Linked DNA regions of Anolis sagrei. The protein of the gene in region 1 interacts with the protein of each later gene in a biochemical or structural test. Links are inferred from orthologs where the notes say so. Each region holds a gene or a part of one and is shown on either strand. Other genes may lie near its edges.

Evidence for each region.
Region 2: the proteins of GTF2E1 (region 1) and ERCC3 form a complex in vitro, tested with the Homo sapiens proteins (2 studies listed by BioGRID). The link is inferred for Anolis sagrei from reciprocal best matches to the Homo sapiens genes GTF2E1 and ERCC3.

What each region holds. Positions count from the first base shown.
Region 1 is NC_090022.1:165,541,956-165,548,844, forward strand, and holds the start of GTF2E1 (general transcription factor IIE subunit 1), read left to right. Parts: upstream 1-3,873; 5' UTR 3,874-3,984; intron 3,985-6,889. Other genes in the region: RABL3 (rab-like protein 3), read right to left, coding at 3,724-3,769.
Region 2 is NC_090021.1:226,492,318-226,499,459, reverse strand, and holds the start of ERCC3 (general transcription and DNA repair factor IIH helicase/translocase subunit XPB), read left to right. Parts: upstream 1-4,138; 5' UTR 4,139-4,214; coding exon 4,215-4,236; intron 4,237-5,671; coding exon 5,672-5,877; intron 5,878-6,908; coding exon 6,909-7,142. UniProt on the Homo sapiens protein: ATP-dependent 3'-5' DNA helicase/translocase. Binds dsDNA rather than ssDNA, unzipping it in a translocase rather than classical helicase activity. Component of the general transcription and DNA repair factor IIH (TFIIH) core complex.

The DNA.
Region 1 (6,889 bases):
GACATCCTGCAGCAGATTTTGCTATAGTCTTTCCATGAATATCTCAGAGTCTCAACTAATTCAACATAGTTTGCAGCAGCCACATAAAGTTTCTGGAGTATAACAACTAGTTTCAAAGTAAGCACCACACAATGAAACAGGAAATAACACTTTCAAACAAGGAACAGATTTTTTTTTCAAATTTTGTTATATTGATAGTATTATCAATCAAAGGCAATATGTGGGATACTGTATATGTGCTGTTTTATACCTGCACACTGATTCCCACAAAAATCGGTTTTGTAATAAGGATAGTATTTCTTGAAGGTTTACTTTTTATTTGAGAAAGAAGAGTTGTTGTTTTGAAAAGTGACCCTGATGAGAAAAAATCCCACTAGGGTAGATTTTGTAAAGGTTTATAGAAATCTGGGTAAGTTTTTATGAGGCTCAGTACTAAGTTTACCGTAGATGTATGTGTGTGAAGAAAGGAAGAATCCATATGTAGGTGCACTGCATGTGTCATTAAAAGCAAATGTTTCTTTGCTACAATCAGTAGAGTGTAACAGGGAAGTTTACAGTATACCCTTTGGAGTTCTTTGCAAAACCTTGCTGTAGAAGCCAAGATCTCAGCATTTTGTATATTGCAATACAATATTGCATATTGTATGTATCATGCACTTTGAAAAACCATTTGTTTTGCATATCATAGAATCATAGAGTTGGAAGAGACCACATGCAGGGGCGGCTCAACCCATTATGCAAAGTAAGCATTCGTAGTATAGTTGATTTTGCCCAAGGGCGCTCTTGAGGGGCTCTTGGGGGAAAATAGACCTTGACATATGCGAGGTGTTGTTACTGGGATGTATAGTTCACCTACAATCAAAGAGCATTCTGAACTCCACCAATGATGGAATTGAACCAAATATTGCACACAGAACTCCCACGAACAAAAAATATATATCAGTGATTGGTTGAGGGGGGGGGGGCAAAATACTGTTTGCTTATCATTGAAAATTACCTAGGGCCATCTCTGACCTCATGGGCCATCCAGTCCAACCCCCTGCCAAGAAGCAGGAGTTTGAAATAAATAAACAAAGGAAAGAAAGGAAGGGGCCTGAGGCTGTAAGGAATGGTGGAAGATGAAATCCAAAACACCCAGAGAGCCCAAGTTTGCTCATGTCTGCTTTATTGGCACACAACAACAAAATCAGCCTCCTAATGTTGTATGCACAGCATCCTAATGTTGTATTTCCTCATGTTGTATGCCCAACCTGAGAAAATCACAGATAAAAGAAACATCCTGAAAAGTGACTCATCTCAAGGATAACATTTGCAGTAGTCTCACAAAAGAGTGCATCAGAGTTGTTCAGAAGATAGAGAATTCAGTAATGCAAATCAAAATACAGCTTAATCCATCTTAGCTTAATCCGTTCTGCTGGACCTCTCAGCGGCCTTCGATACCGTCGACCACGGTATCCTTCTGAGTCACCTCGCGGGAATGGGCCTTGGTGGCACTGCTCTGCAGTGGCTCAGGTTCTTCCTAGAGGATCGTACTCAGAAGGTGTTGCTGGGGGACAACTGCTCTACCCCACAACCATTGACTTGTGGGGTTCCGCAGGGCTCTATATTGTCCCCCATGTTATTTAACATCTACATGAAGCCGTTGGGAGAGATCATCCGGAGTTTCGGAGTGCGGTGTTATCTGTACGCAGATGACGTCCAACTCTGTCACTCCTTCCCACCTACTACTAAGGAGGCTGTTCAGGTCCTGAACCGTTGCTTGGCCGCTGTATCGGACTGGATGAGGGCGAACAAATTGAAATTGAATCCAGATAAGACAGAGGCACTCCTGGTCAGTCGGAGGGCCGAACAGGGTATAGGGTTACAGCCTGTGTTGGACGGGGTTACACTCCCCCTGAAGATGCAGGTTCGCAGCTTGGGTGTGATCCTGGACTCCTCGCTAAGCTTGGAACCCCAGGTCTCGGCGGTGTCCAGGGGAGCATTTGCACAACTCAAACTTGTGCGCCAGCTGCGCCTGTACCTTGGGAAGTCGGACTTGGCCACGGTGGTCCACGCTCTGGTCACATCCCGGATTGATTACTGCAACGCGCTCTACGTGGGGTTGCCCTTGAAGACGGCCCGGAAGCTTCAGATGGTCCAGCGCTCGGCAGCCAGGTTGCTAACAGGAGCGGCACTCAGGGAGCACACCACTCCTCTGCTGAGCCAGCTCCACTGGCTGCCAATCCGCTACCGGGCTCAATTCAAGGTGCTGGCCTTGGCCTATAAAGCCCTAAACGGTTCTGGCCCCGCTTACCTCTCCGAACGCATTTCCGCCTACGAACCGACTAGAATATTAAGATCGTCTGGGGAGGCCCTGCTCTCGATCCCGCCTGCGTCACAGGTGCGCTTGGCGGGGACGAGAGACAGGGCCTTCTCAGTGGTGGCCCCTCGGCTATGGAATGCCTTACCAGCAGACATCAGACAGGCACCTTCGTTGCTGGCGTTTCGGAGAATGGTCAAGACCTGGCTTTACGAACAAGCGTTTGGCTAGGCAATGCAACTAACTAAGGAAGACGGTAACTGAACATAGGAACGGCACAATGACTATGAGAATGGATCTGACTTTAACGAAGGCGCTATATATGTTGTTTGTTGATTTGTCTGTCTGATGTTAATTGTGGAGCGACGTTGTCATCCCGGTTGTTTTATTGCTGTGTTTTTAATTGCACTGTAAACCGCATAGAGTCGCCTGTCAAGGGCTGAAATATGCGGTATAAAAGTGAAGCAAATAAATAAATAAATAAATAGTAAACTTTTCCTCCATTTTAGCAGGAAGAAATGAAATGCAAAGATACAGAATGGGGGACAATGCCTGGCTTGAGAGCAGTACGTGTGAAAAAGATCTTGGAGTCCTCGTGGACAACAAGTTAAACATGAGCCAACAATGTGATGTGGCGGCAAAAAAAGCCAATGGGATTTTGGTCTGCATCAATAGGAACATAGTGTCTAGATCTAGGGAAGTAATGCTACCCCTCTATTCTGCTTTGGTTAGACCACATCTGGAATATTGTGTCCAATTCTGGGCACCACAATTCAAGAGAGATATTGACAAGCTGGAATGTGTCCAGAGGAGGGCGACTAAAACGATCAAGGGTCTGGAGAACAAGCCCTATGAGGTGCGGCTTAAGGAGCTGGACATGTTTAGCTTGAAGAAGAGAAGGCTGAGAGGAGATATGATAGCCATGTATAAATATGTGAGAGGAAGCCACAGGGAGGAGGGAGCAAGCTTGTTTTCTGCTTCCCTGGAGACTAGGACACGAAACAATGGCTTCAAACTACAATAGAGGAGATTCCATCTGAACATGAGGAAGAACTTCCTGACTGTGAGAGCCGTTTAGCAGTGGAACTCTCTGCCCCGGAGTGTGGTGGAGGCTCCTTCTTTGGAAGCTTTTAAACAGATGCTGGATGTCCATCTGTCAGGGGTGATTTGAATGCAACATTCCTGCTTCTTGGCAGGGGGTTGGACTGGATGGCCCCTGAGGTCTTTTCCAACTCTAGGATTCTATGAAGTCCAAAACACCCGGAGAGCCCAAGTTTGCCCATGCCTGTAATACTAGTACCATTTAAAAACCAAGTGATTAAAACCCTTACAAGCATTATGGAACACAGTTTGCAACATAGGAAACGCTTGCGGCCTGGAAGCGTCATGGCGAGTGTGATTCCTTCCCTTTCCCTTCCACTCACCGGAGTCGCCCAGCACCAGCACTTTCACCCGCTCCAGGGCCGCCATCCCTCCTCGCCGACCAAGAGCCACTTCCTATTCCGCCCACTGGCCAGTCGCTTCCTTCCTATTGGCCGAGGAAGGAGCGGGGAGGCGCGAGGAACGCCAGGCGTCGCTTAGTAGTGACGTCAAGCGGAATCGTGTTTGGAGGCAGAGTCGTGACGCACGCCCGCGCGCGCTGAGGGTCTCGCGGCGAAGGAGCTTGGCTTTTGGGTCCCTCACAGGTCAGTCCGAGGGCTGTACCGGCTCCAACCCTTGCCTGCCCCGAGGGCCTCTTTCTTGAGGGAGTAGCTTGGTGGGCTTGTGTTGCTATTCTGTGCTCTTCAAGGGAAAACACTCGGATGGCGGCGGGCCAGAATACATCTGCCTCAGGAAGAAAAGCAGCAGGGAGAGTGTGGTCACCTGTGGCAAGAAGCTTGCACGCGTGTTGGGTATAACTATGCCATTATCCGGACGGAGGCTAAAAGGGGAGCTGGACAGAGAAGGGGAGGGGGTGTTATTTAGAACTTTTATATACCGGTCTTCTCACCTCCAACGAGGGACTCAGGCCTGTTTACAACAAGGGAGTTCATGCACAATAGTTTAAAAACATCACATCAATAATACACTAATATAAACACATTAAAGCACTATCATCATATATAAAGCAAGTCGTTAGTATAAAAATCACTATGCGTCCCCATCTGTCCGTGTGGTCAAAAGTCATTGCCTCATTCATCAAATGCCAGATTCCAAAGCCAGGTTTTCACCAACTTTCTAAAGGTCAGGAGGGAAGGGGCAGTTCTAATTTCCAATGGGAAAGAGTTCCAGGGCCAAGGGGCCACCACCAAAAAGGCGTCCCCACCAAACGCGATTGCGAGGATGGTGGGACCGAGAGCAGGGCCCCTCCAGAAGATCTTAACAACCTTGAAGGTTCATAGCTTCCGAGCACAATTCAAAGTGCTGGTTTTGACCTACAAAATCCTTTACGGCTCCGGCCCAGCATACTTGTCCGAACGTATCTCCTTCCACATCCCACCTCGGAAGTTTAAGATCTTCTGGGGAGGCCCTGTTCTCGGCCCCACCTTTATCACAAGTGAGACTGGTGGGGACGAGGGACAGGGCTTTCTCGGTGATGGTCCCTCACCTGTGGAATGCACTCCCCGGGGAAATTAGGTCATCAACATCCCTCCTCTCCTTCAGGAGGAAGTTAAAAACCTGGATTTGGGACCAGGCCTTTGGGTAAGCTGGCAGATGGATAAAAGACAATGATGACCAGAGTAGAAAAGGACAATGACAATGCTGGATGGATTATGAATGTATGAATTGGCGAACGTTGACCACAAGATGATTTTATTGCTGCTATTGTATTAATTTGATTGTTTTAACTAGTTATAACGTCGTTATATTGTATTTTGTATATTGTACTTTGTGAATTGTTGAGCATCGAATTGTACCTATTTTTGTAAGCCGCCCTGAGTTGAGAAGGGCAGGGTAGAAGCACTCCAAATAAATAAATATGGGAGAATCCGTTCCGATAGGGAAACTGGGCCGGAGTTGTTTAGGCATTTGTAGGTCAACACCAGCACTTTGAATTGTGCTCGGAAGCTAATTGGCAGCCAGTGGAGCTGGCGCAACAGAGGAGTAATATGCTTCCTGTACCCCGCTCCTGTTAGTAATCTGGCTGCCGCTCGTTGGACTGATTGCAGCTTCCGAGCAGTCTTCAGAGGCAACCCCATGTAGAGAGCATTGCAGTAGTCTATACGGGATCTAACCAGAGCGTGGACCACCGTGGCAAAGTCAGACTTCCCAAGGTACGGGCGCAGCTGGCGCACAAGTTTTAATTATGCAAAAGCTCCCCTGGGGTTCCAGGCTCAGCGATGAGTCCAGGATCACTCCTGAGCTGCGAACCTGCGTCTTCAGGGGAAGTGTAACCCCGTCGATCACAGGCTGTAACCCTATGCCCTGTTCGGCCTTTCGACTGACCAGGAGTACCTCCGTCTTGTCTGGATTTAATTTCAATCTGTTCGCCCTCATCCTGTCCGCTACAGCGGCCAAGCACCGGTTCAGGACTTGAACAGCCTCCTTAGTAGCAGGTGGGAAGGAGTAACAGAGTTGGACATCATCTGCGTACAGAAGACACCGAACCCCAAAACTCCGGATGATCTCTCCCAACGGCTTCATGTATATGTTAAATAACATAGGGGACACTACTGAACCCTTCAGGACTCCACATTACAATGGCCGTGGGGTCGAGCAGGAGTCCCCTAGTAACACCTTCTGGGAACAACCCTCGAGGAAGGACTGGAGCCACTGCAAAGCAGTACCCCCAAGGCCCATTCCCGCGGGCGTCCCAGAAGGATACCGTGGTTGACAGTATCGAAGGCCGATGAGAGGTCCAGCAGAACCAACAGGGACACACTCCCCCTGTCTAGTTCCCGGCAAAGATCATCCACTAAGGCGACCAAGGCTGTCTCAGTACCATGTCCCGGCCTAAAGCCAGACTGCTCTGGTAGGCTGTTAGGAATTGTGGGAGTTGAAGTCCAAAACACCTGGAGGGTCCAAGTTTGCTCATGCCTGAGTTAAACCATTTCCCCTCTGTGTTCCTGTTATTCCTCTCACCCATGCCCCTTCTACATTACCATATAAAATCCAGATTATCTGCTTTGAAGTGAATATTCCTGCTTCTTGGCAGGGGGTTGGACTGGGTGGCCCATAAGGTCTCTTCCAACTCTAGGATTCTATGATTATAAGGGCTCTTCCACACTGCCCCTTTATCCCAGAATCTGATCCCAGTTTATCTGGCATTGGGGACACATACATTCCAGTTTAAAGCAGATAATCTGGGATCAGATCCTGGGATGAAGGGCAGTGTGGAAGGGCCCTAAAATGTTCAAAGGTCTGGAGACCATGCCCTATGAAGAGCATCGTAAAGAGCTGGGGATGTTTAGCCTGCAGAAGAGAAGGTTGAGAGGAGACATCATAGCCATGGATAAATATGTGAAAGGATATCATAAGGAATAGGGAGCAGACATGCCCTGGAGTTGGGCACTCACTGGAACAATGGGTTCAAATTCCAGGAAAGGAGGTTCCATGTGAATATTAGGAAGAATTTCCTGAATGTAAGTGCTATTTAGCAGTGGAACTCTG
Region 2 (7,142 bases), on another chromosome or scaffold:
CACTTTTTTGAAAGCTGAAAATCATGCCTATTTTGAAGAATATTCTTTATTTGAGGATTGGAAAGCATGCCATTATATAGATGCCAAAAATCCAGTGTGTGGGTATTTTAAGAAAAAACCAAGACAAATTGCAAGAAAAAGCTAGTACAGACAGTCCCCAAATTACAAACAAGATTGGTTCTGTAGGTTTATTCTTAAATCTAATTTGTAAAGTGTAATTCCATCCAAAAATGTATATTCTTTGGCTTTGGATAACTTTGGGAAGGGTTAACGTAATGTTTGTTTTGCCGTCTGTGATCCTATTCAGAAGATTTCTCCTCACTTTCCGTTCCTGTGATAATTAGATTTTGCAAAATTTGGCTTGTTGTGGAAACAAGGATTGGTGATAAAGCTTCAGCTGAGACACCTTTCCCCATGAGAGCTCTTTCAGGAGTGAAATTCCCTTTCTGGGAGTATTTTTCTTTCACTTTCTGTTGTCCCCTGCCTCTGTTCTTAACTATGAGTCTTTTGTAAATCAAATGTAACTCGGGGACTGTCTGTATATCTGAAATTCATTACCATTACAGGTAGTTATAATGTGATTAAAACAGATTCAGAACTTGTTGCATGCCAAAAAATTAACCAAATTGGATTATTTCTTTAAAAAGAAAATGTGAGCTCTGTGTATCATTAATTTTGATAGCCAGTTACTGGTATTTTGAAAAACTTGCACCTTCTTGTCTTTGAATTGTTCCAGGCTACCTCTGTATCAATGCATAAAAAATAGGACAAGATAAAACATCTCTGAGAATTACTTATGGTACTTAAGGATGAGTTTTCTATATTATCATAATTATCTTATTTATTTATTTATTTATTTATTTATTTGAAACTTTTGTATCCTGATCTTCTCTACCTCCATAGAGGGACTCAGACCGGCTAACAGCAAGAATTCAATGCCAACAATAATACCTTTTAAAACATGATACAATAGGTTAAATTACATATAAGATAAAATACATATAAACCAATTTGCCAAGGTAAAAACAACGTCCAACTCAGTCCGCACATTGTGGTCAATAACTTTAGTCAATTTCTGGTCTCAACCACTCTGGAAATGCCTCGCTCCAAAACCAGGATTTTACTTGCTTCCTAAAGGATGGGAGGGAGGGGGCAGATCTAATTTCATTCTATAGCCGGAGGCCACCACAGAAAAGGCCCTGTCTCGTCCCCACCAGATGTGACTGCAAAAGTGGCGGGACCGAGAGCAGGGCCTCTCCGAAAGATCTTAATGCCCTTGATTCATATGGGAGAATATGTTCAGACAGGTAAACTGGGCCGGAACCGTAAAGGGTTTTGTAGGTTAAAACCAGCACTTTGAATTGTGCTCGGAAGCTAATTGACAGCCAGTGGAACTGCCACAACAAGGGAGTTGTGCACTCCCTGTAACCCCGCTCCCATTAGTAGCCTGGCTGCCGACGATTGTACTTATTGCAGCTTCCGGGCAGTCTTCTGAGGCAACCCCACATAGAGAGTGTTGCAGTAGTCTATACGGGATGTAACCAGAACGTGGACTACCATGGCCAAGTCAGACTTCCCAAGGTACGGGTGCAGCTGGCGCACAAGCTTTAACTGTGCAAGAGCTCTCCTGGTCACCGCCGAAATCTGGGGTTCCAGGTTTAGCGATGAGTCCAGGATCACTCCCAAGCTGCGAACCTCGCCTTCAAGGGCAGTGTAATCCCATCAAGCACAAGCTGTAACCCTATGCCCTGTTCGGCCTTGTGACTGACCAGGAGGACCTGTCTTGTCTGAATTTAGTTTCAATTTGTTCACTCTCATCCAGTCCATTACAGTGGCCAAGCACTGGTTCAGGACTTGCACAGCCTTTTTAGTAGCAGGTGGGAAGGAGTGACAGAGTTGGACATAATCTGTGTACAGGTGACACCGCACCCCAAAACTCCGGATGATCTCCCCTAACGGCTTCATGTATATGTTGAATAACATAGGGGACATAGGGGACAATAATGAGTCCTGCAGGACCCCACAGGACAATGGCAGCAAAGCCCAGCAGGAGTACCCCAACAACACCTTCTGGGAACGACCCTTGAGGAAGGACTGAAGCCACTGCAAAGCAGTTCCTTCAAGGCCCATTCCTGCGAGGCGCCTCAGAAGGATATTTATACATTGTCTTTTCCCAAAACTGGGACTTAAGGGGCCTTACATTCAGGGTGCCCCCAAAATGTACAGATATTGAACAATTTATAATTGTAGGGGGTGGGGAAGAATTGCAATGATTTTGCAAAATATCAGAGAAGTGTCACGAAATGAGCGATTTTCAGTTTGCAACTTTGCTTTAACAATACAAAATGCATTGCTGCGCAGGGAGGACAGTTTGTACACCTTGCATAAAGTGACCATTTAAAAGGAAATTTCTAATTCCAATTAAAGTTAAAAGGGATGTAATGGTGAGAATGTTGAATTGAGGCCCCTCCTACACTGCCATACAAAGTCCAGATTATCTGCTTTACACAGGATTATATGGCAATGTAAAGGTTTTCCCCTGACATTAAGTCCAGTGGAGTCCAACTCTGGGGTGGTGCTCATCTCCATTTCTAAGCTGAAGCGCTGGTGTTATCCGTAGATGCCTCCAAGATCATGTGGCCAGCATGACTGCATGGAGCACCGCTACCTTCCCGCCAAAGCGGTACCTATTGATCTACTGACATTTGTATGTTTTCGAACTACTAGTTTGGCAGAAGCTGGGGCTAACAGGAGCTCACTCCGCTCCCTGGATTTGAACTGCCAACTTTTTGCTCAGTGTATGGCACTGTAGACTCATATACATAATCCTGTTCAAAGCAGATAATATGGATTATCTGATTTGATAATCTGGATTATATGGCAGTGTAGAAGAGGCCTTAGAATCTCGAAACCAGCGTTTGAATCCCCACTCAACCATGGAAACACACAAAGTGATAATCTGGATTATATGGCAGTGCAGAAGAGGCCTTGGACTCTGGAGATCAGTGTTTGAATCCCCACTCAACTATGGAAACACAGAAAGTGAGCTCAAACAAGTCACACTCCCTCAGCCTCTGAGGAAGACAACTCCCTCTGGACAAACCTCGCCAAGGAAATCCCATGATAGGGTCTCCATAAATTGCAAATGATGGCATACAACGAGTTAAATGGCAATATTAAAATCCAGTGCAACTATTTGCAATACTACAACTATTTAGAACACACAACATTAAAAACACACTAACAATCATGCTTCAAATGCCACTTGGTTATTAGCACTATGGCCTTCAAAACCAAAAGCAGGGATCAAAATTAAAAGGGAAGGCTCTGCTGCAACTGTCTTAAGACACGCAACGCTGAAAACACAGGAAAAGGACTGTGGTGCAACTGGCTGGGAGTCAGCTGCATTAAGATCACTACTGACCGAAAGGTCATGAATTCAAAGCCAGCCTGGATTGGAGTGAGCTTCCGACCATTGTGTAGCTTGCTGTCAACCTTTGCAGCCTGAAAGACAGTTGCATCTGTCAAGTAGGAAATGTATGTATCGCTTATGCGAGGAGGCTAATTTAACTAATTTATGACGCCATAAAATCTCCAGCAAGCAAGCATAGAATGAGAAAGTACTCCATCAGTGTCACAAATGGACGTTGAAGCGACAGCTCCCCTGGTGGCCAGAATACCCTCATGAAAAAGCTGGAAAGTTAAATAGCCTCTGTGTGTCTGTCTATATATGTTGTGTGTCTATGGCATTGAATGTTTGCCATGTATACTATGTACATTGAAATCCGCCCTGAGTCCCCTGCGGGGTGAGAATGGCGGAAAAGAAATACTGTAAACAAATAAACAAGTAAGACTGAAATGCAAGGCAAGCAAAGATCAACACTAAAGTGCAATGCAATGCCGCCACTATCGAAATTAAACCACGACGCAGTATAGTATTGCAACTATTGAACACACACTTTGAAGTACGCCGACGAGCACACTGAGAAGATGATTCATTGAGGAATACTGTGATCCTTTTTTTAACCTCTGCAAAACAAACCCCCTCTCTGGGCGGGCGCGCGCGCCTCTTTCACGCGCAAGAGCCATCGCTTCCTCCCCTTCCGTGTTTCCCTCCCGAGGGTGGGCGGGGCTTCAGGGGCGGGAGAGACCGGATTGGCTCCGCTCTCTGTCCCGGAAGCGGCCCGAGAGAGAGGCTGGCACGGCCTGGCAAGATGGGCAAGAAGGAGCGCGGCGGTGAGTGACTAGAGAGAGGCTTCGTTCTCTTTGGAACCATCGCAGGCCTGGGCAAACCTTGGCCCTCCAGGTGCTTTGGACTTCAACTCCCAGCATTCCTCACAGCCTCAGGCCCCTTCCTTAAGCGGCTGAGGGGGAAAAGGAAGGGGCCTGAGGCTGTGAGGAATGCTGGGAGTTGGAGTCCAAAACACCTGGAGGGCCAAGGTTTGCCCAGGCCTGTCCATAGCAGGACATCATGTCAGAGAGAGAGAGAGCTGAATATACACCAGTATGTTCAGAGTCTTTGCTCAAACTCCCTTCTGCCTGTAAGACAGAAAGGACTACCAGATTCAGAGGAACTACTGTCCCTAAACACTAGTCTTGTTTAAGTTGATTCCTGAACACTATGAGGGAGGGGGCCAATCTAATCTCACTGGGAAGGAAGTTGCACAGCCAAGGGGCCACAACTGAGAAGGCGGTGGGACAGAGAGCAGGACCTCCCCAGCAGATTCTTAATGTTCTAGCTACCTCATAAAGGGAGATGTGTTTGGATAGGTAAGCTGGACCTATCCAAACAAAAGTATCTCTTTTGTGCATAGCAGTGCTTCTTGGTGGGCTGAGGACCACCAAGACAAAAATCTGGTCCACGGGCCTCCTTCCTCTTTATTTTTTTAATTTCCACTCCTTTCACACCGCCTGCCACTCTTTCCCTGTCACTGACGATTGCATATGTTCTGTATCAGAAACTAGAGCTGATGAGGTTTTCTGAATCAGCACCCCAAACTAAATCTAAAGTTGACCAAAAACTGATTTGTAACCCTTTTGGTACTAATGTTGGATAGTGGTCAAGTGATCCCTGGTCAAAAAAGGTTGGGAACCACTGGTGTATAGAATATGTGGGTTGGGTAAAGGTGAAGAATACACACTTTTCTCCTGGATTCAGTCCTCAGCATCCTCATAGATATAGATATAGATATATATGCCACTTTTCTCATCCCTGGGGGAACTCAAAGCAGTTCACAACATAATCCATGACAAAATTCATGCCTCATACAAATAAACATCACACCTCAAATTGACAACAAATGACAATAGATTAAAACCATTAAAATTTATATATATATATATATATATATATATATACACACACCCTATTCCAGATTCTTGGGCAGATGCTATAAAAGGATCTTCAGAGTTAAACTAATAGGAATATGGAAGAATTACCATAGTCCCCATATTTGCCTTGGGCAGTTAAAAGGAGCCATTGTCCCTTAACCATAGAAACATGTTTTGTTGTCTAAACCAGGCATGGGAAATACCTTCAGATCATACTAAACTGCAAATCCCTTTAGCCCTTGTCACTTTATGCAATCTAAAGTTGTCTGCAGTTTTAAATTTCTACTATAAACGGTTTTTATGTGTGTATGTATGGAAACGTATCTGCATTGGTTTTCAGATAAGAAAAAGTCTAAGAAGCGGCACTATGAGGAGGAGAATGAGGACGAATACGACATCCCAGGCAGAGACTCACAAGAAGCAGTTCCTTCGGCAGCAGGAAAGCAAGTGGAAGTTTCTCAGAAAAAAGTAGATGAATATGGGGCGAAGGACTACAGGAGCCAGATGCATCTCAAGGATGATCATTCCTCCCGCCCGCTGTGGGTGGTAAGCGCCATCAAACACAGAGATTTCCTTAGAGCTTTGTTCACATTCTTTAAAGGAAACCTCTAGAGGTGTTTGCCTGTGCTGAAAGAACTGACATTGAAACTTACTTTGGCATGCTTTGAGAATGGCTGAGGAAGATTAGACCTTGGTAATGCTTTGGAGTACAGTTTTTACAATTCCTACTCATTGACCAAAGGTGCATCTGCACAGTTACTGGCAATTTGGCAGTACTTTAACTTCTATGGCTCAATGCTGTGGAATTCTGGGAGCAGTACTTTAACAAAGACTTTCATTTTCTCTGCCAAAGAGTTCTGGTGCCTCATCAAACTTCAATTTCCATGATTCCATATCATTGCGTTATGGCTGTTAACGTGTGCTAATTTCCCCAGATCATACTTGGAATCAGAACGCATTCTGGGAGCTAGCGTCCAAAAATCTAACCTACATTTCCAAGCTTTCATTTTCCAGTTCATAGTGGAAGAGAATTTTGATCCTAGCATTTTCAACAAACTTTAGTCAAGTGATTCTGAAATATGTATCTAGTTACACTTCTGGGAGTTCTCTTCACTCTTTGAATAACAAGTTTTTTCACTTTTTCTCTTTTCTCTTCCCAAATGCTAGATCATGAACTGATTCTGGCTGTCAGGAAATTTCAAAAATGATTTGTCTTTTGGACAAAAGCCAAAAATTCTGCCACTGGTTGGGAAGCACAAATGCAAATATTATTGCAAAACTGATGGATAGTTCCATTGCACAGCAGTTGAGTAAAACACCTCTGGGGTGTGCCAAAATACCAAGTTAGTCCTTGGAAGGGACACGTACCCTCGGTCCTATAGGAAGTCAATGGCATACTAACTCTGAGTATTCCTAACTTAAGACAACTTTATGACATTAATGGAGTTGTTGTAAGTCACCAGGCAATTTGAAGGAACATGCCTACCTATGCTTCTTTCTATATTTAAAGGCAGCAGTACAAAGCATTTAAGTTGCTTGCAGAGTAATAATATTGCAATTCTTCTGTCCTTTCATAGGCTCCTGATGGCCATATTTTCCTTGAAGCCTTTTCGCCTGTTTACAAATATGCCCAGGATTTTCTGGTTGCCATTGCTGAGCCAGTTTGCCGACCCTCCCATATACATGAATATAAATTGACTGCTTACTCTCTCTATGCTGCTGTCAGCGTGGGTTTGCAAACAGATGATATCACAGAGTATTTGCGGAAGCTGAGTAAAACTGGTGTGCCCGATGGGATCATTCAGTTTATC